Linked DNA regions of Arabidopsis thaliana. The protein of the gene in region 1 interacts with the protein of each later gene in a pairwise test. Each region holds a gene or a part of one and is shown on either strand. Other genes may lie near its edges.

Region 1 (4,329 bases):
AATATTTGTTCGTTATTGTGATTCCATTTTTTGATTGGTTTTCCCAAAATCTGTCTAGGCCGAGCATATACTCGATCTGCAGAAGCAACTGACATTGCTTGGAAGCGAAACCCGGAGGGATATAAATGGTAACCGATCTGATGAACCCATAACAAGCACAACAACTGCAGACAAGGTAGGGACATTTTCTTTTCCTTTTTTAATCTTTTCTTTAACATTTTTCTGTGACCTGACATATTTTCTTTACGGTGAGGCAGCTTCGATCAGAGCTAGATGATGCTATTGCCAGCGAATGCCCGTTCTGTGGAGAATTAATGATCAATGAGATCACTCTGCCTTTTATTAAACCTGAGGATTCACAGTATTCTACTTCATGGGACCTCCGATCAGAGACCAACTTAGCAAACCAGAGGACCATTTCTTTGCCTGTTTGATTCATGTCAAACCGTGAATTCTTTCTTGTGTGATCTCTTCTTCAGCTAGCTTTGAAATGTGAATGTGATTTTTGGGTTCTGTATTATTGATGTAGTATTACTATTAAACATGCTTCTGGAGATACATACAATATGCTATCTCACCTACTTTTGTCTCTATATCTAAGTGTTTTTCTGAACTATTATTTCGATCTAAAAGATACTTCTGTATTCCATGATTTTACATCAGTGATGCGACTCTTCCTCTGCTTCAAAATCTTTTTCTGCAGATATTTTCTTCGCCAGAGCCTGCTTGGTCCAGCGCTTCAAGTCATAAGCTCTTTTAAAAGGCTTCTTCTCCCTGGTAAGTTTCCTCTTTGTAATGGCAATTGCAAGATCGTTTGGGAACAACGTTTGCCAGACAAAGGCGTGGAGAAGCGTGGAGACAAACAAAACGCAGACCATCGCTGTGGAAATGAAGGAAAGAGTGAGTGCTAGAGCCCGGCTCGGGTAACCAGGTACTGCCTCTGCATACTTTATTGTTGCTACGGATGCTGTTGTCATAGGAAAAGTATATGACCACCACGCCACTGAGAACCTGCAAAACCCCGTAGCCACTTAGTATCATCAACATATATCTTCAACCAAGAATATTTAAACCCGAGATGGACTTACTTAAATCCAGTGAAGAAATTGATCCGAGCAACTAGGGATATGTATAGGAAGAGTGCAATGAAGAAGCAAGTTCTTGAACATCCGTCGAATTGGCCATATATCGTGTTCCAAGCAATACTTGCTGCTGATGGGGCAGCAATGAACATAGAGTAAACAGGATGAAGCTCTTTAGGAAGAGCTTCACTGGTGGGAAGTCTCTGATAAAGTGTTACAAACACAACCAAGTAATGTGCAAAACCTACTGCCCATAGAAACTTAGCTACTTCATCCCATCCAACTTTTGAAGCTAAGATGGCCCCGACGAAATTCCCTACAACAGAAAGATGAGAAGATGGGTTTGCGACTTTGCATAGTCGCCTCTTCCCTCCCGAAAGCCATTGCCCGTAGATCTTTAGCTCGAGGAAGAAATAAGGACCCATGAAAACACACCAAATGGCGGGATGGAGGTATTTTCGGTTTGGTGAGAACATGGGAGGTACGCTAATGGCTAGGAACATGCAAACCACCCAAGGAGCGAAGAAGAAGTTGACTCGAACAGGATGAAAATACTCTCTTTTGACAGCTTCAAAGTAGAAGATGCATTTGAGTATGTAAGTGAAGGACACAGAGACTAAAACTACCAGTGAAAATAGCCATACAACTAAGTTAATCAATGGTGTGATGTGTAAAAAGTTTGTTGCAGGACTTTTCGCTAGGGCAAGCCACAAGACAGCTTGACTGCTAAGTCCCAAACAGATACCGAAGCATCCAATTGGGAACCTTAGGAGAAACGGCCATTGCTCCTCTTTTGGAAGCAGAATATCTTCATTGTCCTGCAAGAGAGTACAATTGGAACTAACTGATAATTAAGTTTTGAAGAGAGAAAGAGAAAGAAGAAGAGTTGTTACCTTGACTTCATCCAATTCAGGTCCTCTAAGAGCAGCAAAGTATCTTCCTGCAGAAACATTTTCATTTATAGAATCATCTTTGGTCTCACCATCTTCAGTTCTTAAAGAATTCTCAATGTCTCTCTCCCTTATTATAGAAGGCAATAAAGACTTTTGTTTGCTGAGCGTTGATTTAGTCCTAAACATACTAAAATCTGTTTTCCGACCATCTCCACCGTTGATGATTCCACCTGATTCAAACCCGCCAAAGCTACGACCACTCCTCGGTAAACTCTTTTTGTCATCTCTTTCTCTAGATTCTCTGTTGAGCACTGAGAAACCTGTCTCTAGCGAAACCTGTCTGCTAAAACCTCTGAATGGTCTTTGTTTCCCTCGGTTTGGTCCTCTGTTTCCAGAGAATCTCTTGTTGTTGTTGTTCTCTTGCTGTTGCAGTTCTTGCTCTGCTTCATCTTCAACTTCATTGATGTCGGCGAAAGTGGAATGAGCATTTGACTGTTTCCTCTCCATTGATCAGAGCAATTTGATAATTTGAAACACAAGAGAAGATATTTTTCTTCTAGTATGGAAAGGAAACATGTTAATGTATATAGAAAGATGCAATGGACTAAGTTAAAAAAAGCAAAGTTTGTGGTTAAGGGGCACGAGAAAGCTTGGTGAATGGTGTGAGTTAATGCGTATGTGAACCAAAACTTTCCTGGAAAGTTTCTTAGGTTTCTCGTGAAAGCTTTTCGATCCAAACTACTTGGAAAAGGTGAGAGACGATGAAAAAAAAAAAAAAAAAAAGGCCGTTCCATTAGTCACGAGATTCAAATGCAACCAAAGTCAATTTGCTCTTTTCTATACAAAACATAATTTGAGTCGTTAATTCGATTTCTGTTAGCTCCTCTTGTTTGGTTAAAACTTATAAACTTAACATATAATACTAACATTTTGGAAAAAGGGGTCGAAAGATTAAAGCAACCAAACATATGTGCAGAAATATGAATGGCATATATTCTTCTTCTTTGTAAGAGATTTTTCTATGAATTTCGTTCCAAAATGCTTTACGTTTTCCCTTTATCCAAACAAAAAACTTTGATCAATGAACTCAAAATAATACAAAAGTGATATAATAAATCATCAAATAGCCTCGCATGGATTAGGAGTCATAGGACCATAAGACAAACTCACATAAGCCGTGATTATTTTCACAACTTCTTGAATAATATGATACAATCTATAATTTATAATTTATAATGTTTGTTTATGAATCAGGTTTAAAACAATATTCGGACTGTTGATTAATAAAAAATTACAAATATAAGCTAAGCTTGAGATCGAACCCTCACACATTGAAGGTAGATTGCCACAGAGATGACCACTATACCGCCACAAGTTTTGTAAGAGTAACGCCCCTAAGTTGTTCTAAACCTTGGCATTTATAGCCTGTAGTTTTTGTTTTTATAGTAAACAAAAAGTTGTAATGTAACCTTACTTCATATAGCTCTAACAATATATGAGTGTTGTGAAATGGGAATACTTATGGGATTAGATTGTTAACCATATATATAAGGTTTGAGATCATTAGGGTGTGTTTACAAAATCTATATTCTTGCAATACCTAATGTTTTCAAAACCCACAACATTAGTGAAGAATTATTGCATGAATCTCTTAGACTTGCAAAGTAGATTCTTATTTAGCGTTCGTGGCTTTTTGGTTCGACATTATTGGAAGCAACCGGAAAGCAGGCAGACCCAGTCAGAATAGTGGTGGGTCCCACGATGTGTCGAATAATATATATCTGATCCTGAAGACAAGATCATGACCGTCGGTTTAAAACACGTAATTGGGTTCCAAGGCTTTATGAAAACCCTAGAAGTAAAAGGGAAAACCGAAAAACAGAGAGATAGGGTTCAAAGCGGTTAGGAAGATCCTTTTTCCTTAAGGAAAAGGAAATCAAGGATAAAGAAGAATTATTCTTTTCCTGGTTATAAATAAGCAAGCCCCTGTTCAACAAAACAATCACAAAAAGAATGTCAAAAAAGCAACGCTGCTTGAGGATGGAATCGCTGCCCCACGAGGTCGTAGAGCGCATCCTAGAGAAGACTTGCTGTGGATTCTCTGCTGAGATTCACGGCTGTATCGAAACAATGGAAATCATCGATCGAATCTCCATTCTTCCAACAAAGACAATTGACACAGCGTCAGCAATCAGGTGATCCAGCTCTTCTCATGGTCTCCAGAAGTCGTGAGGATTATTTTAACCCGGATTTAAAACATCTAACTACACTGGTGTTGGGTTCATCATCATCGGTCACCATCCCTACACCTTGGGAGAAGGACAAGGAGAAGGAGAAGGAGAAGGAGAAGGAGG
Region 2 (6,317 bases), on another chromosome or scaffold:
ATAATAAGTTTTTGCACAACTATATATATATATATAGAGCATACTAGCTTATCAAACTCATAATATATTTAGAGTTTACTAGTTTATCAAACTCACTAGCTTATCACACTTACTAGCTTATCAAACTTAAGAAGTGGCAACACAACAAAATTAAGTTCAAATCATATCTTTTATTTAAATTTGTTTTTTCATGGCTTTAAATAACATTGTAAATAGCTCTCATTATCCCAAGAAAAAACAAACTTATCTTTCTCTCATGAGTAATCAACAACTTCTAGTCATCATCGCAAAGGAAAATTCAATATTATACAAGGCCCAATCAAAGCCTTCGTAGCGGCGAATTAAAGAGATCGATACTATTTTTTTAGAGTATATATACTAACTAACCTTTGACAACAAAAGAATAAAGAGAATAACCATAGATAAAAAGTATGAGAGAGAAAATAACTTTTACACCTCATTTATGACACTTTTACCCTAACTAAACCAAACCGTACATTAATTTTTTATTTCTCCGAAACCATCATCACCTTCTCCATAACCATCTCCATCACAATAACCACCACAAGCTCTAGTAAATCATTTGACTATAGCCGTTCACGGTGTTGGTTTTCATCAATTTGGTGGTTCAACCATTGAGCTCTTCCATTTATTTGGTCTATATAGGATTTACCTATTTCCGATATCGTTTCTTTTTAGAATCTGAGATTTGCTTTCACCCTCAAAAGTTTAAGATTTTCTTTCAATGTTATGTTATCATTTCATATATCATGTTACTTTTATATTAGGCATGTATTTTGTCTAAAAGCAGTGTATTTATTTGACATGATCTGCACTTTTTAAATAATTCATGTCCTCTATTGTAATCACGTATCTTATTCCTACCCATCCAAACAATAAGATATGTTTCTTTTGAATAATGCATGTTCATTTTATATTAGACATGCATTTTCTAAAAATACATGGTATTATATAAAAGATCTACACCTTTTAAATATTTCATGTTCTCTACTGTAATATTATTCATACCTATCCGAACAATAAGATGTATTTCTTCTGAATAATGCATGTTCCTTTTATAATTGTCATGTATTGTTTTAATAAAATATTAATTCATTTAGATACTATGTTGTCTGTAAATAATTCATGTTTTTTATTCAGATGTTAATCAACTCTGATTTATTATCACTGGCATTATTGTAGAAACAAGAAAATAGAAAGATATTTTTTAGTATTTATTCTACTTTAAAAAATGTTATTTATCTAAATTTTCTGACAAAAAATTATTTTTTTAATTTTGTTTAATTTTATGGTTATTTTTTATCATTAACCTTTTTTTTATATCAGCTGTAATGGAAAAATATATCAAAGTAATATTGACACTATTTTTTTTTTGAAATTAAAAATAATATTGACACTTGACAGTTCGAAATTCAATACTTTTCTAATTATAAATGGAATATTCTGTACCCGTCCAATAAAACAAGGAATTTTTCCGTTCCAGAACAAATATTCGAAATTTTTTTACCATAAAATTCCTTTGAAAAATGTAAGTCAAATTTAATTTATTTTAAATATAATTAATTTATTGTGGATATTTTATTTTCAGCAAATTGACAAAGACAAAAGACAATTTACTTAAACAGTTCTATCTATTACACTCAGAAATTGACGCGACTGATAGATAATTCCAATTCCAGTCAAACAAAACCTTCACAACTCAATTATTCTTCCGATTTTGGTTTCTCTCTTCCAATCATCCTTCAAGCTCATCTTTTTCTTCTACCCAATAACGAAAGTCTCCTCCTTTACTAATGGGTTGCTTCAGCAGTAAACACCGGAAAACTCAAAACGACGGCGGAGAAAAATCAATCCCGATCAATCCAGTTCAAACCCATGTAGTCCCCGAGCATCGTAAACCTCAAACCCCAACACCAAAACCCATGACTCAACCAATCCATCAGCAGATTTCAACACCGTCTTCAAATCCAGTCTCAGTTCGAGATCCAGATACGATTTTAGGTAAACCATTCGAAGACATCAGGAAATTTTACAGCTTGGGGAAAGAATTAGGTCGAGGTCAATTTGGGATTACGTATATGTGTAAAGAGATTGGTACTGGTAACACTTATGCTTGCAAATCGATTCTTAAGAGGAAGCTAATTAGTAAGCAAGATAAAGAAGATGTGAAGAGAGAGATTCAGATAATGCAGTATTTGTCTGGACAACCTAACATTGTTGAGATCAAAGGTGCTTATGAAGATAGACAATCTATACATTTGGTTATGGAGTTGTGTGCTGGTGGTGAGTTGTTTGATAGGATTATAGCTCAAGGTCATTACTCTGAGAGAGCTGCTGCTGGTATCATTAGGTCTATTGTCAATGTTGTTCAGATTTGTCATTTTATGGGTGTGGTTCATCGAGATCTCAAGCCTGAGAATTTCTTGCTTTCGAGTAAAGAGGAGAATGCTATGCTTAAAGCTACTGATTTCGGTTTGTCCGTCTTCATCGAAGAAGGTTAGCTAGAGACTCAATATAGCCTTTTTTGGTCTTTGGTTTTGGATTGTTAGTGTTTGGAATCTATAAGCTTGTCTAGTCTCTTTAGTGTCAAAGATTAAGAGTTTGGTAGTTCATTGCATTGTGATCTCTAGCTTGAGTACTTCTTGTTTTCGAGTAACAGTGAGAGTGTCATGGTCAAAACAATTGATTTTGTGTTTTCTCTGTTCATTGAAGATTGATCATATTCTTTGGTATTTAAGATCTGCACTTTTTTTTTCCGTTGATCATGAGCTAGATTGTTGTCTTATGTTCCAATGCATAGGGATGAGACTCAAGACACTTTAGTACCGAGAATCGAGTTTATCTTGTCTTTTGTACACATCTTTATGATATTGTCAAGTATGTAATTTTCATTAGTTTGATTCTTATGTTAATATGCTTCATGATATGTCTGTGAAACCAACAAATGCAGGAAAAGTTTACCGGGATATAGTTGGGAGTGCTTACTACGTTGCTCCAGAAGTATTAAGGCGAAGTTACGGAAAAGAAATCGACATTTGGAGTGCAGGTGTCATTTTATACATCCTACTCAGCGGTGTACCTCCTTTTTGGGCCGGTAAAAGACCTTTAAGCTAACCAAATTCATTGATTTGTTTTCTTCTTGAGGTGTGATCTATATTCATATGTTATATTTTAGAAAATGAGAAAGGAATATTCGATGAGGTCATAAAAGGCGAAATTGATTTTGTAAGTGAGCCATGGCCTTCTATATCTGAAAGCGCGAAAGATCTTGTTAGGAAGATGCTAACCAAAGACCCGAAGAGACGAATCACGGCTGCACAGGTTCTTGGTAAGACAATGTGAATACCAGTATTTTTTTCCCACTCCTGTTTGTATAGAATGCGTGATTACATATTTTAGAGGCTCAAAGCCAGAACAAGATAGTCAGTCCATTGTATAGGACCTCTAGGTCTAAATAGACTCTAGTGAATGTTGAAGTCTGATCTTGTTCTTGTCTTTGAGTTTATGGTCGTCTAACTAGTAATGCTTTACTAATATGTAGCCATCCTTATGGTTTATAGAACATCCTTGGATCAAAGGGGGAGAAGCACCAGACAAGCCTATTGATAGCGCTGTGTTATCCCGCATGAAGCAATTCCGAGCAATGAACAAGCTTAAGAAGCTAGCTCTAAAGGTAAAGAAGTGGCTGAAATTTTTTATGAAATTATCTTTCTTTATTACTAATTTTGCATTTCAATTATCCACTTGCAATCTCTCTATGCTCCATATTGCAATGCCTCATATCTACTGGTGCCTGAAATTTTGGTTGTAATTTGTGTATTCTGTTTTCAGGTTATCGCGGAGAGTCTATCAGAAGAGGAGATTAAAGGTCTTAAAACCATGTTTGCGAATATAGATACCGACAAAAGCGGGACAATCACTTATGAAGAACTCAAAACTGGGCTAACTAGACTTGGGTCTAGACTCTCGGAAACTGAAGTTAAGCAACTCATGGAAGCCGTAAGTTATCTTCAGCATCTTGGCTTCACTTTCCACTGTTAAGGTTTTGAAAAAGCTTGAAACACATGATGATAACGTTTCAGGCTGACGTCGATGGTAATGGAACAATCGACTACTACGAGTTTATCTCTGCGACAATGCATAGATACAAATTAGATCGAGATGAGCATGTATACAAAGCATTCCAACACTTTGATAAAGACAACAGCGGGTAAGTTTTTCCATTTTCAGTTTATGAATTAGTCTCCATTGTTCATTTCTTGTGTCATGGAGACTAAGTATCAGATGTGTACAACTATTATCATGCACCAATGTTAATAATGGCTTGGTTATACAACAGGCACATAACTAGAGATGAGTTGGAAAGTGCCATGAAGGAATATGGAATGGGAGATGAAGCTAGCATCAAAGAAGTTATATCCGAAGTTGATACCGACAATGTAAGTTGCACTCTCTAACATATAAGCCAACATCTCAAACATTAAACTGGTTCTTGAAACCTTGTAATGAACTATGTTACAGGATGGAAGAATAAACTTTGAAGAATTTTGCGCGATGATGAGAAGTGGCAGCACGCAGCCACAGGGGAAACTGCTTCCATTCCATTGATCAAGTCGGCATAAATCCCAACGGTTTATCAACCGAAAGCGATTCTTGAACCCAGAGTAGAAGAGCTAAACCGGGGGTAAACCGAGGTGAGCATAGTTGATATACTGTCTCAAAATGTTGTTCTATCTTCTCTGTGTTTGAACAGATTTATTTATCCTTCTCCTTAGTTAGTCTGAAACTGATTTTGAGAGACTGTCATGTCTTAGCTCCTTGTAACAGTAACATATCCACTTATATTTTTTTGAAACTTTCTTGAGAACTTTCTTAATCCTTATGAGCTTTAAGTGTAATCTTTTGCTAGTAATAGTTCCTTAGGAATCTCTCTTATCACTTCTCAATCCAAGATACAAACTCAAGAACTCTAACAATGGAGATTTGTTCAAGAGATTTCTTAACTCTTCTCTAGCAAACGATAAGTTTGTTACACACACATCTATACATGCATTAATGCATAACTTTTTCAATACTCTTCTATCTATTTATATACAACTCTCAATTGGTTACACAATCTGTTTCTTCTTGCTCTGTTTTAACTCTGTTTCACGTGCCTTCTCTGCTTCTCTTTGCTTATTCACGAGCCTCAACGAATCCTTTTGAGCTACCACACGTGCCTCCTAGCTTATCAATACTCTTGCCCTCGAATAATGTAGCTTGTTCTCAGGCGCAAAAGAAAAACATTTTGCTGTTGCATCACTGTTACTAAATCCAATGTGACTTCTACTCCCAATAATCTGCTCAAGCACTGATTGAATCTTTTTATATGTTTCAACTCCTTGAGACACATTCTGCTTCATGTCAGATTCGATTTTCTCAAGCTTAGTGACTTCATGTTGCGCACATTTCTTCCTTGGTTCTTTGGTGATTCGTATTTATCACTTTGGTTGTCTTTGTTTCTAGGAAGAGCTAAAAAGTTATTCTCAAATACAAAAAGAGCGAGTGGAGACCAACGAGCTGTTGGCCCAGTGTTAAATTTTTTATGTAGAGGTGCTGGGTTCGAGGTATATTGAGAGAGATCTCTTATCCAAAGAAGATGTATTTAACCTGGTGTGGGTCCATCTCCCAAAAGAGATGAATCTAACCTGGTGTCGGTCTCGCCTCTCAGAGATATAGGGCCTTTAGCTAGTAGTATCAGTCTATGAACGTCACACGCTTTGTATCATTTAGCCTATAAAGATTTTAAGATATTTTCAAGAGTTTATTATTTAATTTATTTGTTTGGTTATCTGTTTGTAATTATAAATCTGGATGTTCAATATACGTGGGATGCACGAAAGAAGCATTTTTAAGATCAATCTGTCAATTAAAGAATAAATTACAGTACTAATAAATAAAGAAGCAAGAAAAACACACCAATTAGATTAAACGACAAAATGAAATTATTTTAAGGACCAATATTAACGTTGACAAAAACAAGTTAAACAACCAATGACCAATACTATAAATTTGAATATTTAAAGACCAAGTCAGTATTTTATTAATACAAGTATACAACTCAAATTCCAGCTCATAATTCCTACATTTTATACTTTCGGTTTTATACACAAAAGTCGTCTAATAAAGTCTTGGAGGACTTAGTAAACTTACCAACATAAATTTTGAATATTTAAAGACCAAAAACGAATTTAAAAGACCAAAAGAACATTTTTCGTAATGCAAATGTAAAAGCGGATAATTTGGCGCGAAATATT
Region 3 (5,769 bases), on another chromosome or scaffold:
AGGAGATCGCAATTGTATCTCACAGTGGCTTCTTGCACGGTCTCTTGAGTTCTTTCGGGAAGGATTGTTGCGATGACCTAAAGAAAGAGTTGTCTATACAGTAAGAGCTTAAACAAAAACTTGATGTCTACAAGCACCAACAATTTGTATAACTTGAAACTGTTTAACTAATCAACATCTTTAACTTTGTTCAGTTTGAGCAACTGTGAGCTTCGCTCAATGGTTATCGTGGATCGAGGGTAAGCAATAATTACAATAAGTTTTGACAGAATATAAATATAATTTGAGAGTGTGTTGGATTATTTATTATGGTGTTGGGTGTGTAGGAACCTGGGGACTGACTCTGCAGAGACCACAAACTATCCTGGGAAGGTTCCTGAAGGACTTGATAATCCTAGTGGCTAAATGGCTGAAGAGTAAGAGAGAGAATTCTGAGATAGTTTTTCTTTCTAAAATAAATAAATTACATGATGTTTCCATTGGACTAGAATCTGGCATTTTCAGTTATTTGATGAACATTAGTGTTGGTATGTAGCCATGTAGGTTGACTCTGCTGCTACATGAATTTATTGTATGATTGTTATTATCCAAAATTTAGCGGTAGCTTTAATATTTCTGCTCCAATTCTCATTTTAGCTGTGATTATACAATTGTGGAAATAATAGCATTACAAGTAGAGGAACTGGTAGATGCAACTAAATTATAAGTGTGAATCTTAGATGAGTAGATTTATCTCTATCAACATGAGAACCAGCAGAAACTTAAAACATTATTTATGTAAGATCAACTTCATATTTTATGGCAGCTGTGTTGAATTTTCTTATGGCCAAGCATTTTAATAAAACAAAGAGAAAATTCCAAAAATTACACTCAGCTTTTCTTATAGTACTAGGTTTTATCTTTTGGTGTTGAGATTTTTTATGAAAATAGAAAATGTTTTAAGTGTTTTTATAGAAGTAGATCAAAGTTTAATGCTCTTCGTACGTTCTATGTATTTGGACTTTAATATAATCGATAATCGTATTCAGATTCTTTATAGAAATTACGCTCTCTCCAAACTATTGGAGAAAGCTTTTACCATTAGGAATTCGAAATTTTTTGTTCCCCAATTTTGAACATATGATAAGATCTTTTAAAGAACACTCGACAATGTAAAATTTAAAGTAGGTCTAGCTTCTTATCCGTTTAAGAGAACGATTTTTTTTTTTAAATGATATGATTCACGGTTTGTAAAGTTATCTATTGGAAAATAAAAAAACTGTAAGTACAATACTGTGATGTCAAAAAGAAAAAAAAAGTACACCCAAACTAAATTTGTACCACGTGCGAGACAAATTGTAGTCTGCGATCTTACTCACTACCCGACAATGACATGCCCCATGCCTTAGTTCTTGTAAGAAAAAAGTGATATCCTATATACTTCACTAATTATTGGTAAAATTATGCAAAACTTTCAGTGCTAAAAGTTTGATTTATACTGTACTAGTTGTTATTTCAACGTAGACATACCAAAATGTTTATTCAAGAAAGCCTATATACTAGCAAAAGTAAAAAAGAATGTGACATCTTTGATGAACCAATGTGAAAAGTCAACATAATAAAACTTGAGTTTTCAGAACAAATTTAGTTGTCCATTGTTTCGATCTGTTAATCAAGACCATAAATTAACTCTTAACTATATGCATCTAATAATAATATTTTGTAGTTAGCTAAGTTAAGCACATCCAACTCTTAAAAAAAGCTAGTATAACGTTAGGCTTATAATCATTCTCTTAATAATAAGTTATCCTAAACAAATTATTGCAATTTTTTATTCTCCCTACTTGCACTAAGTATCATTACACCAGTAAAAGATGATGATCCCTTAAATTAATACTAATTAAACAAGCAATTAAGGAATGAAGAAGGTGAGACGAAACCGCGTAAAAGACCTTTCTTCTTTGCACCATCCTCTCTCCTTCATCATTTCACAAATCCACAAAAGAATCAATCTTTTTAACACTCTCTAATGATTCAACGAATCCAATTACCCAACCAGAAACAGCAACACATATAGAGATATATACTATTAAACAATAACATAACAAAGAAACCATTTTTTCTCTTTTGTTATTGACTTAAACAAAAACTATCAACGAATAATTATCCTTTTTTGAGTTTTTCCCATTTCTTCTTCGTCTCCATTTCATCGTCTTCTCGCTGTTCTGCTATATTCCGGTACTAGATCCTCTGTTTTCTCATGTTTCTTTTATTACCAAATGATTTCTTCATTTATTGTTGTGTCTTTGATTCTTTTTTGGGATCTATAATGATCGATGAACATTTAAAGCTACGACTTTTCAGGAGCTCTTGTCTTTTTTTCTTTAATCTTTGATTATGTTACAAAACAATTATGTTTTTTGAAGCTTGATCTGATGTGGGTTCTTTGATTTCGTTCCAAAGTTTGATACTTTTTTGGCTTCTCTTTATCTGATTTTTTTTGTGTATGTTTGTTCATGAAACAGTTTCGTTGGATGAGGAGAAGAAGAAAGTGAAAAAAGTTGTGAAATAGAGAGAGTTTGTTTCATGGGCAATTCATGTCGTGGTTCTTTTAAGGACAAAATCTACGAGGGCAATCATAGTAGGCCCGAGGAGAATTCCAAATCCACCACCACTACTGTTTCCTCTGTTCATTCTCCTACTACAGACCAAGATTTCTCCAAACAGAACACCAATCCAGCTCTTGTGATTCCTGTTAAAGAACCCATTATGCGGCGTAACGTTGACAATCAATCTTACTATGTTCTTGGTCACAAGACTCCTAACATTCGTGATCTTTACACGTTGAGTCGTAAGTTAGGACAAGGACAATTCGGGACAACGTATTTGTGTACTGATATTGCCACAGGTGTTGACTATGCTTGTAAGTCTATATCCAAGAGGAAATTGATATCTAAAGAAGATGTTGAGGATGTTAGGAGGGAGATTCAGATTATGCATCATTTAGCTGGTCACAAGAATATTGTTACTATTAAAGGAGCTTATGAGGATCCTTTGTATGTTCACATTGTGATGGAGCTTTGTGCTGGTGGTGAGTTGTTTGATAGGATTATTCATAGAGGTCATTACAGCGAGAGGAAAGCTGCTGAGTTGACCAAGATCATTGTCGGTGTTGTTGAGGCGTGTCATTCTCTTGGTGTTATGCATAGAGATTTAAAGCCTGAGAATTTCTTGTTGGTTAATAAGGATGATGATTTCTCTCTTAAGGCCATTGATTTTGGTCTCTCTGTTTTCTTCAAACCAGGTAAGCGTTAGTTGCGAGTTTCTCATTGTTCTGAATCTATTTAAGTACCATGATGTGTTTTGTAGTATACATTACTGTGACTTTCTATTCATCAAATGAGTAAGGGAATGTAAATGTTTCAGCTTTGCATAATGTGTAGTCTTACTCTAATATCAGGCCAAATATTCAAGGATGTTGTTGGAAGTCCATACTATGTTGCTCCTGAGGTTCTTCTAAAACATTATGGTCCAGAAGCTGATGTGTGGACTGCTGGTGTTATACTCTATATCTTACTAAGTGGTGTCCCGCCTTTCTGGGCAGGTATGCGGGCGATATAGCTGTTTCAATGCGTTCTCTTAATTAGTGCCATTGACAAGGTTTCCTGAAGTTTGGTTTTGTGTTTTTGAAATCAGAAACACAGCAAGGAATATTTGATGCTGTGTTGAAGGGATATATTGACTTTGATACAGACCCGTGGCCTGTCATATCCGACAGTGCTAAAGATCTGATCCGGAAGATGTTATGCTCTAGTCCTTCTGAACGTTTGACTGCTCATGAAGTCTTGCGTACGTAATCAATTACACTTAAATAAATGGTTACATTTGGCAGCCACACAACATTAGACTATATCTCTTGTATGTATCTCTTTTTTTTTCAGGTCATCCATGGATCTGTGAGAATGGAGTTGCACCGGATAGAGCACTTGACCCGGCTGTTTTGTCTCGTCTAAAACAGTTTTCTGCAATGAATAAATTAAAGAAGATGGCTTTAAAGGTCAGTTTGTAGTTATACTCAATCTTCTATTGTCTCTGCATCACATTCGTTTGAGATATGTTTACTCATATTAGTGATTATGGAATGATCAGGTGATAGCTGAGAGCCTCTCAGAAGAAGAGATTGCGGGTTTAAGAGCAATGTTTGAGGCAATGGATACTGATAACAGCGGTGCAATCACTTTTGATGAACTCAAAGCTGGCTTGAGAAGATATGGATCAACCTTGAAAGACACCGAGATCCGAGATCTTATGGAAGCGGTAACAATGCATCCTTTTGAGATATGCACACTAGTTCATTTCGCTATATAGATGACAATAACCATACTCTCTGTGTTGTATCTTAGGCTGATGTGGACAACAGCGGTACAATAGATTACAGCGAGTTTATTGCAGCGACGATCCATCTGAATAAACTAGAGAGAGAAGAGCATCTTGTCTCTGCATTTCAGTACTTTGACAAAGATGGAAGTGGTTACATCACCATTGATGAGCTGCAACAATCTTGCATTGAACATGGGATGACCGATGTTTTTCTTGAAGACATAATCAAAGAAGTAGATCAAGACAACGTAAGCTTTGCCTCTTGACATGATTCTTCCACTCTTCACCATTGGTGTTTGCTAATAAAGTTTTGGTTTTTGTTTCTTACAGGATGGACGGATTGATTACGAAGAATTTGTTGCGATGATGCAAAAGGGAAATGCTGGTGTAGGGAGAAGAACAATGAAAAATAGTCTAAACATCAGCATGAGAGATGTGTAGGCACATACACACATCTTTAAATCGTCTATTCGGTGAGGATGCAAATGTTTCCATGGAATCAACATTTGCAATGTTTAATCACAGAGGAGGAAGAGAAACCAGATTCATAGCTGCAGCGAACCAGCTAAATCGTTGAAGGTTTGAGTTAAAAATGTTAAAAACTACTGTATGATTAAAAAATGGTGAAAGATAAAAAAAAAGTGTTAAGTTCTGTTCATCAGTAGCTGTGAGGACTATTTCTATTTTCTCTCTCTCTGTTTTGTTTGTTTGTAACAACTGTTTAAGTTTGGTTTTTATTTCATCTCCATCGTCGAAAGCTTTGACCCTTTTTGGGTTTTTGAAAGATCAAATCATCTTCCAATATAGTACAAATGTGATATACAAGTTGTGTGACAATCTTCCACCTTTTAGTTGTTGTTGCTGTTGTTAGTACACAAACGCATACTCTTCACTTTGGTTTGTTAAACTTTTTAGCTCGGCTTTGGTCGTCTTTTCTCACATGCATACTTCCAAATTGGAGTCATAGCGACAACATTAATACAACTAGTCAACTACTATGTTACAAGTTTCTGTCCACTAATTTCTTTCTCTAATTACATCTGAATCTGTAAGTACATAAACATGTATGTACATATGAACACATGAGTGTGTGTATATACACAAAAATTTATGTAATAAAAGAGCAATAATTGATGTAAAATGTGGAATACTGTATGATGATAGCTACTAAGTCTCAATCATGTAATCAAAGTGATGTCTTAGAACCAAACTTAAGGTTGTTCGAAACAATCAATCATACATTGGTCCCAATGTGGTGGATTGGAACATGACAGGGAAACCATGTGCTCCCACTTATTTATATATATGCATCGTATGTTCGTATGTATTAATGTATATACATTTCACACCACATGCAGTGAGTTATTTATGTCACCTTTTATTTAGTTTTCCGAAAAATGGTGAAATAGA
Region 4 (5,430 bases), on another chromosome or scaffold:
AAAACTAAGACCTATCGCCAGTGGTCTTTTGACACCATTTCAAGGGATTGGATTTCTCGGGCTGCAGTTGCTTTTAGGCTTAGGGATTCTTCTCCAACTTAACAATTACAGGTTTGTTTGGATTTTTTACTTGCCCTAAAGTCGCGTATTTGCAAGTGTTTGTTTAAAAATTCACATACACATATGGTTCACCCTTATGTAGTTGGCCCAAATTCTGAAGATATGTTCTCAGGTCTTGTCTTTAGTTTTGTGATCAAATTCTTTTCTACTTGAGCTCATTTCAGTATGTATATTCTGCAGCCGTGTTTTAGGGGCTTCATCTTTGTTACTTGTCTTTTCCTACCCACTTATGAAGAGGTTTACATTTTGGGTAATTTAAATCTATTCTGGCTTCTCAAAGTTAGACATTATATATTTTCTGATTTTCTTATGATTGATTCGTTTTTATAATTGCAGCCTCAAGCCTTTTTAGGTTTGACCATAAACTGGGGAGCATTGTTAGGATGGACTGCAGTTAAAGGAAGCATAGCACCATCTATTGTACTCCCTCTCTATCTCTCCGGAGTCTGCTGGACCCTTGTTTATGATACTATTTATGCACATCAGGTATATTCACTTTTTATTTTTTAGCTTCAAAATCTATTTGATTATGACCAGTAGCAAAGTAGTTAATCTCAATGTGTGCATATTGCTTGCTTTGTTTTCTTTTTCTAGCTTCACCACCACAGATTTCTTTTTCAGCTTTTGTTTCATGTCTCATGCAAATGCATCCATTTCGATGTTCGACTTTTGTCAATCATAAAGAAGAAAATTACCCTGATCTCCCACCTTTTCCATCTGATTTCTATACTTTAAGTGAAGAGTTAGCCCCATAAAAGTCTTCCCGTTTGCAACAGAAGTGAGAAAAGAAAGTTACCTTTGTGGCCCATTGAAAATGAAATAGTATATGCCACAAGCTACGAACCCAAAATTTCAGCTCAAGTTCAGTTTTTATGCAAGTAATTTTGAGATATTCTAGGTTAAATCATTTTTTTTCCATGGACTAATGTCTAATATATTGTGTCTCCAGGACAAAGAAGATGATGTAAAAGTTGGTGTTAAGTCAACAGCCCTTAGATTCGGTGATAATACAAAGCTTTGGTTAACTGGATTTGGCACAGCATCCATAGGTTTTCTTGCACTTTCTGGATTCAGTGCAGATCTCGGTACTCAATAAACTTTACAAGGACTCATTTGTGATTCCTAATTCCATTTACTGTCTTTTGATTCTTTTTGTTTCTCGCTCTAATGATTAAGGGTGGCAATATTACGCATCACTGGCCGCTGCATCAGGACAGTTAGGATGGCAAATAGGGACAGCTGACTTATCATCTGGTGCTGACTGCAGTAGAAAGTATGAAAATTTGGGTTTATCTTTTGTACTCTTTCACAATCCAATTATGTGATTTGCCTTGGAAAACCTAATAGTGTTTTTATATCTGTACAGATTTGTGTCGAACAAGTGGTTTGGTGCTATTATATTTAGTGGAGTTGTACTTGGAAGAAGTTTTCAATAAAGACTCTCTCTCTGTCAACGAATGAGGATGAAGCTGTAGTGTGAGGAACCTATATATGAAGAATTGAAGTAGACTTTTGAGACACACTGTAAGTGAAACAGAGGACATGGTCTTGCTACAAAGTGGGTCTCCTTCAGGATTGAAATGATCAAGGAGCCATTGCCAGAAAAGCTGAAACTTAACTCTTTTAGATTAGTGACTAGTTACTACTGGTTCTTGTAAAAGAAGCTATTGTTGTTGTTTGGGATCCATGTCTTTTCTTCCAGGAGGTAGTTTGGCTGTATGTATACAATGATCATGACCTTCTGGTCAAACAAGAGGCTTTACTTTTGGCTTTTATAGTTGACATACGCAATATCATTGATTTTGTAACCTAAAGGATGTTAATAACTTTTCCTTTTTCAATCTCAAATTGCAAAAGATTAACATTGAATTAGCCGTGTGATTGATTGGAGAAGTGGAAACAACTAATATGCAGAAGATTTCCACATCCACTAATTTATCTTCCAATGGGACAAATACTTTTGTTTATACGCGGTTCAACTACGTACCAATAAAAACACGCCACGTGGTCATCGTGTCTGATCTCAGACATTAAAAAGCCATAAGAATCGGAGATACAATCTTTCTCTCTCGATTGACTTTATTGACTGAGAGAAAGCTTTTGACAATGGGCCACAGACACAGCAAGTCCAAATCCTCCGATCCGCCACCGTCCTCCTCCTCCTCTTCCTCCGGCAACGTAGTCCACCATGTTAAACCTGCCGGAGAACGCCGCGGATCATCCGGTTCCGGAACCGTCGGATCGTCAGGCTCCGGAACAGGCGGATCTCGTTCCACCACATCTACTCAGCAGAATGGTCGGATCTTAGGTCGGCCGATGGAGGAAGTACGGAGAACCTATGAGTTTGGTCGTGAGCTTGGTCGTGGCCAGTTTGGTGTCACGTACCTCGTAACTCACAAAGAGACGAAACAACAGGTCGCTTGCAAGTCAATCCCTACGCGCCGCCTTGTTCACAAAGACGACATTGAAGATGTTCGCCGTGAAGTCCAGATTATGCACCATCTCAGCGGTCACCGGTAAATCTCTTTTTTTGTATCTCACTGGAAAATGCTTCTTTGACATTTTCCGAAATCGAATCTGAAACGCCTTTTGTTGGAATATTGGTGAATATTTAGACATAGGATTCGTTTTCTATATTAATGAATGGTTTGCATCATATGTGGATGAAAAGTTTGGTGGTCCTATGTTAAACTCTTGAAAAAGTTTCCCTTTTTGCATATTTATATTTACCTGAGTTTCAAATTGGTGAGTTGATTATAGGAACATAGTGGACTTGAAGGGAGCCTACGAGGACAGACACTCTGTGAATCTGATAATGGAGTTGTGTGAAGGAGGGGAATTGTTCGATAGGATCATTTCTAAAGGTCTTTACTCAGAGAGAGCTGCTGCGGATTTGTGTAGGCAGATGGTGATGGTTGTGCATAGTTGTCATTCTATGGGTGTAATGCACCGAGACTTGAAGCCCGAAAACTTTCTCTTTCTTAGTAAAGATGAGAACTCACCATTGAAAGCTACAGACTTTGGTCTCTCTGTCTTCTTCAAGCCAGGTTTGAACAGCCTCTATCCTTCCCTATTTGATTTCTATAGACAATTTATCCCTCTAATGAAGTTGATCCATTAATGCAGGTGATAAGTTTAAGGATCTTGTTGGAAGTGCATACTATGTTGCCCCAGAAGTTCTAAAACGGAACTATGGACCAGAGGCTGATATCTGGAGTGCTGGTGTGATTCTATACATCCTTCTCAGTGGTGTTCCGCCTTTCTGGGGAGGTATTGTCTTGATCTTATTTGAGAAGAGAATTTGGTTTCACTGTTTAAATGTTGGACTGGAATGTATAGTCACGTTCTTTCTGTTGTGCAGAAAATGAAACGGGGATCTTTGATGCCATTCTTCAAGGGCAACTTGATTTTTCAGCTGATCCATGGCCAGCACTATCAGATGGTGCCAAAGATCTTGTGAGGAAAATGTTAAAATATGACCCTAAAGATCGGCTTACAGCTGCGGAAGTGCTAAGTAAGACCCCTTTATAACATGTTTTGATGAATAAATTGATGAAAACACCTTCTTTTATCCAATTTTAATAACGTTTTGATACATACGCAGATCATCCGTGGATTAGAGAAGATGGGGAGGCATCAGACAAACCGCTTGACAATGCGGTGTTATCCAGGATGAAACAATTCCGGGCGATGAACAAACTAAAAAAAATGGCCCTGAAGGTAATTAAAACACTGATTGAAACAGTCTTACCATCACTATTGTAGTTTATGTAGTCTTCTTGTTCTAAAGCCAATCTTTGGTTTTCGTTTTGCAATTTCAGGTTATCGCTGAGAACCTTTCTGAAGAAGAAATCATTGGTCTTAAAGAGATGTTCAAATCTCTAGACACTGATAACAATGGAATAGTCACCTTGGAGGAATTGAGAACCGGTCTCCCAAAACTTGGTTCAAAGATCTCTGAAGCTGAAATAAGGCAGTTAATGGAAGCAGTAAGTCTATCACAATCCACTACTTTGATGTCAAAGCAATAATGCTTATGATGCTTTGTTTCTTTTAGGCTGATATGGATGGAGATGGATCAATTGATTACTTGGAGTTTATATCAGCCACAATGCATATGAACAGAATCGAACGTGAGGATCACTTGTACACCGCATTCCAGTTCTTTGACAATGACAACAGCGGGTAAAACATTGTTCTTTAGCTCTCTATTTCTTTCTTTAACAAGCTATAAATAAAGTCTCACTCTTTGATCTTGATTTGTGATATTAGCTACATAACAATGGAAGAGCTAGAGCTAGCCATGAAGAAATACAACATGGGTGATGATAAATCCATCAAAGAGATCATTGCTGAAGTAGACACCGATCGTGTAAGTATACGTAAATCTCTGGTTTCGTCCAATTCATACATCTGTAAGTATACGTGTAAGTTTAACACTCTCTTCTCATCTTTGTATTCGAATCTTTAGGACGGAAAAATCAACTACGAAGAATTTGTAGCGATGATGAAGAAGGGAAATCCAGAATTGGTGCCAAACCGACGCAGAATGTGAGAGATCTTTTGATGTTGTTTGTTTGTTTTTGGTTATCACTTTACTCAAACTTTGTGTTTCTGTTACAATCAATTATTTTGTTTCCTGCAATCTCTTTTTATCAACACAACATAAAAAATACTTTGAGATCAGAAAGCCATTTGCAGGTTTGGTTAATGACTTATGAGAGATTCAATATATAATAATTACAGGTTGATTCTTGCATGATTTGAAGCTGAAATTCACTTAAAAAATTATAGAATGATAATCTTAACCCTTACAAACAAATTTGAGATTATATCTAATCAAGGCAATAAAAAAATAAGCAAGGTGCAGTAGGAGGGATTAGAAGTTTCAAATCCGATTTTTATACATGAAAAATGACGAAATCTAATAATCTTGGTGACATTTTCTCACAGAGAAATCGGACAACTAAAATGAGTAAAAAAAATTAAAAGAACGAATAAAAAATCAACTGAGATATATATAAAAAAAAAACTGGAAGAAGAAGAAGGACCGCGAGCTTTGGATCGAATTTGTTAAATTTTTCTTCTCTCGATAATAAAAACAACAAATGATCGTTGATCGTTTTTCTCTAGATTCGATTCCGATTCCAAAGAACTAGTCTCCGGCGTGTAATCTCTGATCGTTGAAGATCCAAGCTACGCCGCATCTTACTCGCCGGCGGCTTGAATCATGGTATGTCGCTCCCTTCTCTCGACCGATACGTCGGAAATCTTAAACCCCTAGATTCCTTATTGCTACTCCTGCGGAAT

What was found.
Region 2: the proteins of OZS1 (region 1) and CPK21 interact in a protein complementation assay, tested with the Arabidopsis thaliana proteins (one study listed by BioGRID).
Region 3: the proteins of OZS1 (region 1) and CPK6 interact in a protein complementation assay, tested with the Arabidopsis thaliana proteins (one study listed by BioGRID).
Region 4: the proteins of OZS1 (region 1) and CDPK6 interact in a protein complementation assay, tested with the Arabidopsis thaliana proteins (one study listed by BioGRID).

The regions. Positions count from the first base shown.
Region 1 is NC_003070.9:4,256,768-4,261,096, forward strand, and holds OZS1 (C4-dicarboxylate transporter/malic acid transport protein), read right to left. Parts: upstream 2,534-4,329; 5' UTR 2,483-2,533; coding exon 1,976-2,482; intron 1,901-1,975; coding exon 1,089-1,900; intron 1,012-1,088; coding exon 660-1,011; 3' UTR 501-659; downstream 1-500. Other genes in the region: AT1G12470 (zinc ion binding protein), read left to right, coding at 59-175, 258-434; AT1G12490 (F-box associated ubiquitination effector family protein), read left to right, coding at 4,016-4,170, 4,199-4,329. UniProt on the Arabidopsis thaliana protein: Slow, weak voltage-dependent S-type anion efflux channel involved in maintenance of anion homeostasis.
Region 2 is NC_003075.7:2,393,129-2,399,445, reverse strand, and holds CPK21 (calcium-dependent protein kinase 21), read left to right. Parts: upstream 1-1,686; 5' UTR 1,687-1,814; coding exon 1,815-2,517; intron 2,518-2,971; coding exon 2,972-3,115; intron 3,116-3,196; coding exon 3,197-3,349; intron 3,350-3,581; coding exon 3,582-3,694; intron 3,695-3,852; coding exon 3,853-4,020; intron 4,021-4,103; coding exon 4,104-4,231; intron 4,232-4,360; coding exon 4,361-4,460; intron 4,461-4,542; coding exon 4,543-4,629; 3' UTR 4,630-4,715; exon of another isoform or gene 4,716-5,049; intron 5,050-5,526; 3' UTR 5,527-5,793; downstream 5,794-6,317. UniProt on the Arabidopsis thaliana protein: May play a role in signal transduction pathways that involve calcium as a second messenger. Mediates the phosphorylation and activation of the S-type anion efflux channel SLAC1.
Region 3 is NC_003071.7:7,514,440-7,520,208, forward strand, and holds CPK6 (Calcium-dependent protein kinase family protein), read left to right. Parts: upstream 1-1,890; 5' UTR 1,891-2,217; exon of another isoform or gene 2,218-2,416; intron 2,417-2,504; 5' UTR 2,505-2,565; coding exon 2,566-3,283; intron 3,284-3,439; coding exon 3,440-3,583; intron 3,584-3,675; coding exon 3,676-3,828; intron 3,829-3,920; coding exon 3,921-4,036; intron 4,037-4,128; coding exon 4,129-4,296; intron 4,297-4,382; coding exon 4,383-4,607; intron 4,608-4,689; coding exon 4,690-4,800; 3' UTR 4,801-5,223; downstream 5,224-5,769. Other genes in the region: AT2G17280 (Phosphoglycerate mutase family protein), read left to right, coding at 1-100, 195-239, 327-405. UniProt on the Arabidopsis thaliana protein: May play a role in signal transduction pathways that involve calcium as a second messenger. Functions in abscisic acid (ABA) regulation of guard cell S-type anion- and Ca(2+)-permeable channels and stomatal closure. Phosphorylates FD.
Region 4 is NC_003075.7:12,324,212-12,329,641, reverse strand, and holds CDPK6 (calcium-dependent protein kinase 6), read left to right. Parts: upstream 1-1,990; 5' UTR 1,991-2,226; coding exon 2,227-2,636; intron 2,637-2,880; coding exon 2,881-3,167; intron 3,168-3,246; coding exon 3,247-3,390; intron 3,391-3,481; coding exon 3,482-3,634; intron 3,635-3,724; coding exon 3,725-3,840; intron 3,841-3,941; coding exon 3,942-4,109; intron 4,110-4,177; coding exon 4,178-4,305; intron 4,306-4,392; coding exon 4,393-4,492; intron 4,493-4,591; coding exon 4,592-4,675; 3' UTR 4,676-4,884; downstream 4,885-5,430. Other genes in the region: PPT1 (polyprenyltransferase 1), read left to right, coding at 1-111, 301-370, 457-606, 715-780, 1,070-1,205, 1,297-1,393, 1,487-1,556; TRH1 (Potassium transporter family protein), read left to right, coding at 5,351-5,353. UniProt on the Arabidopsis thaliana protein: May play a role in signal transduction pathways that involve calcium as a second messenger. Functions in abscisic acid (ABA) regulation of guard cell S-type anion- and Ca(2+)-permeable channels and stomatal closure.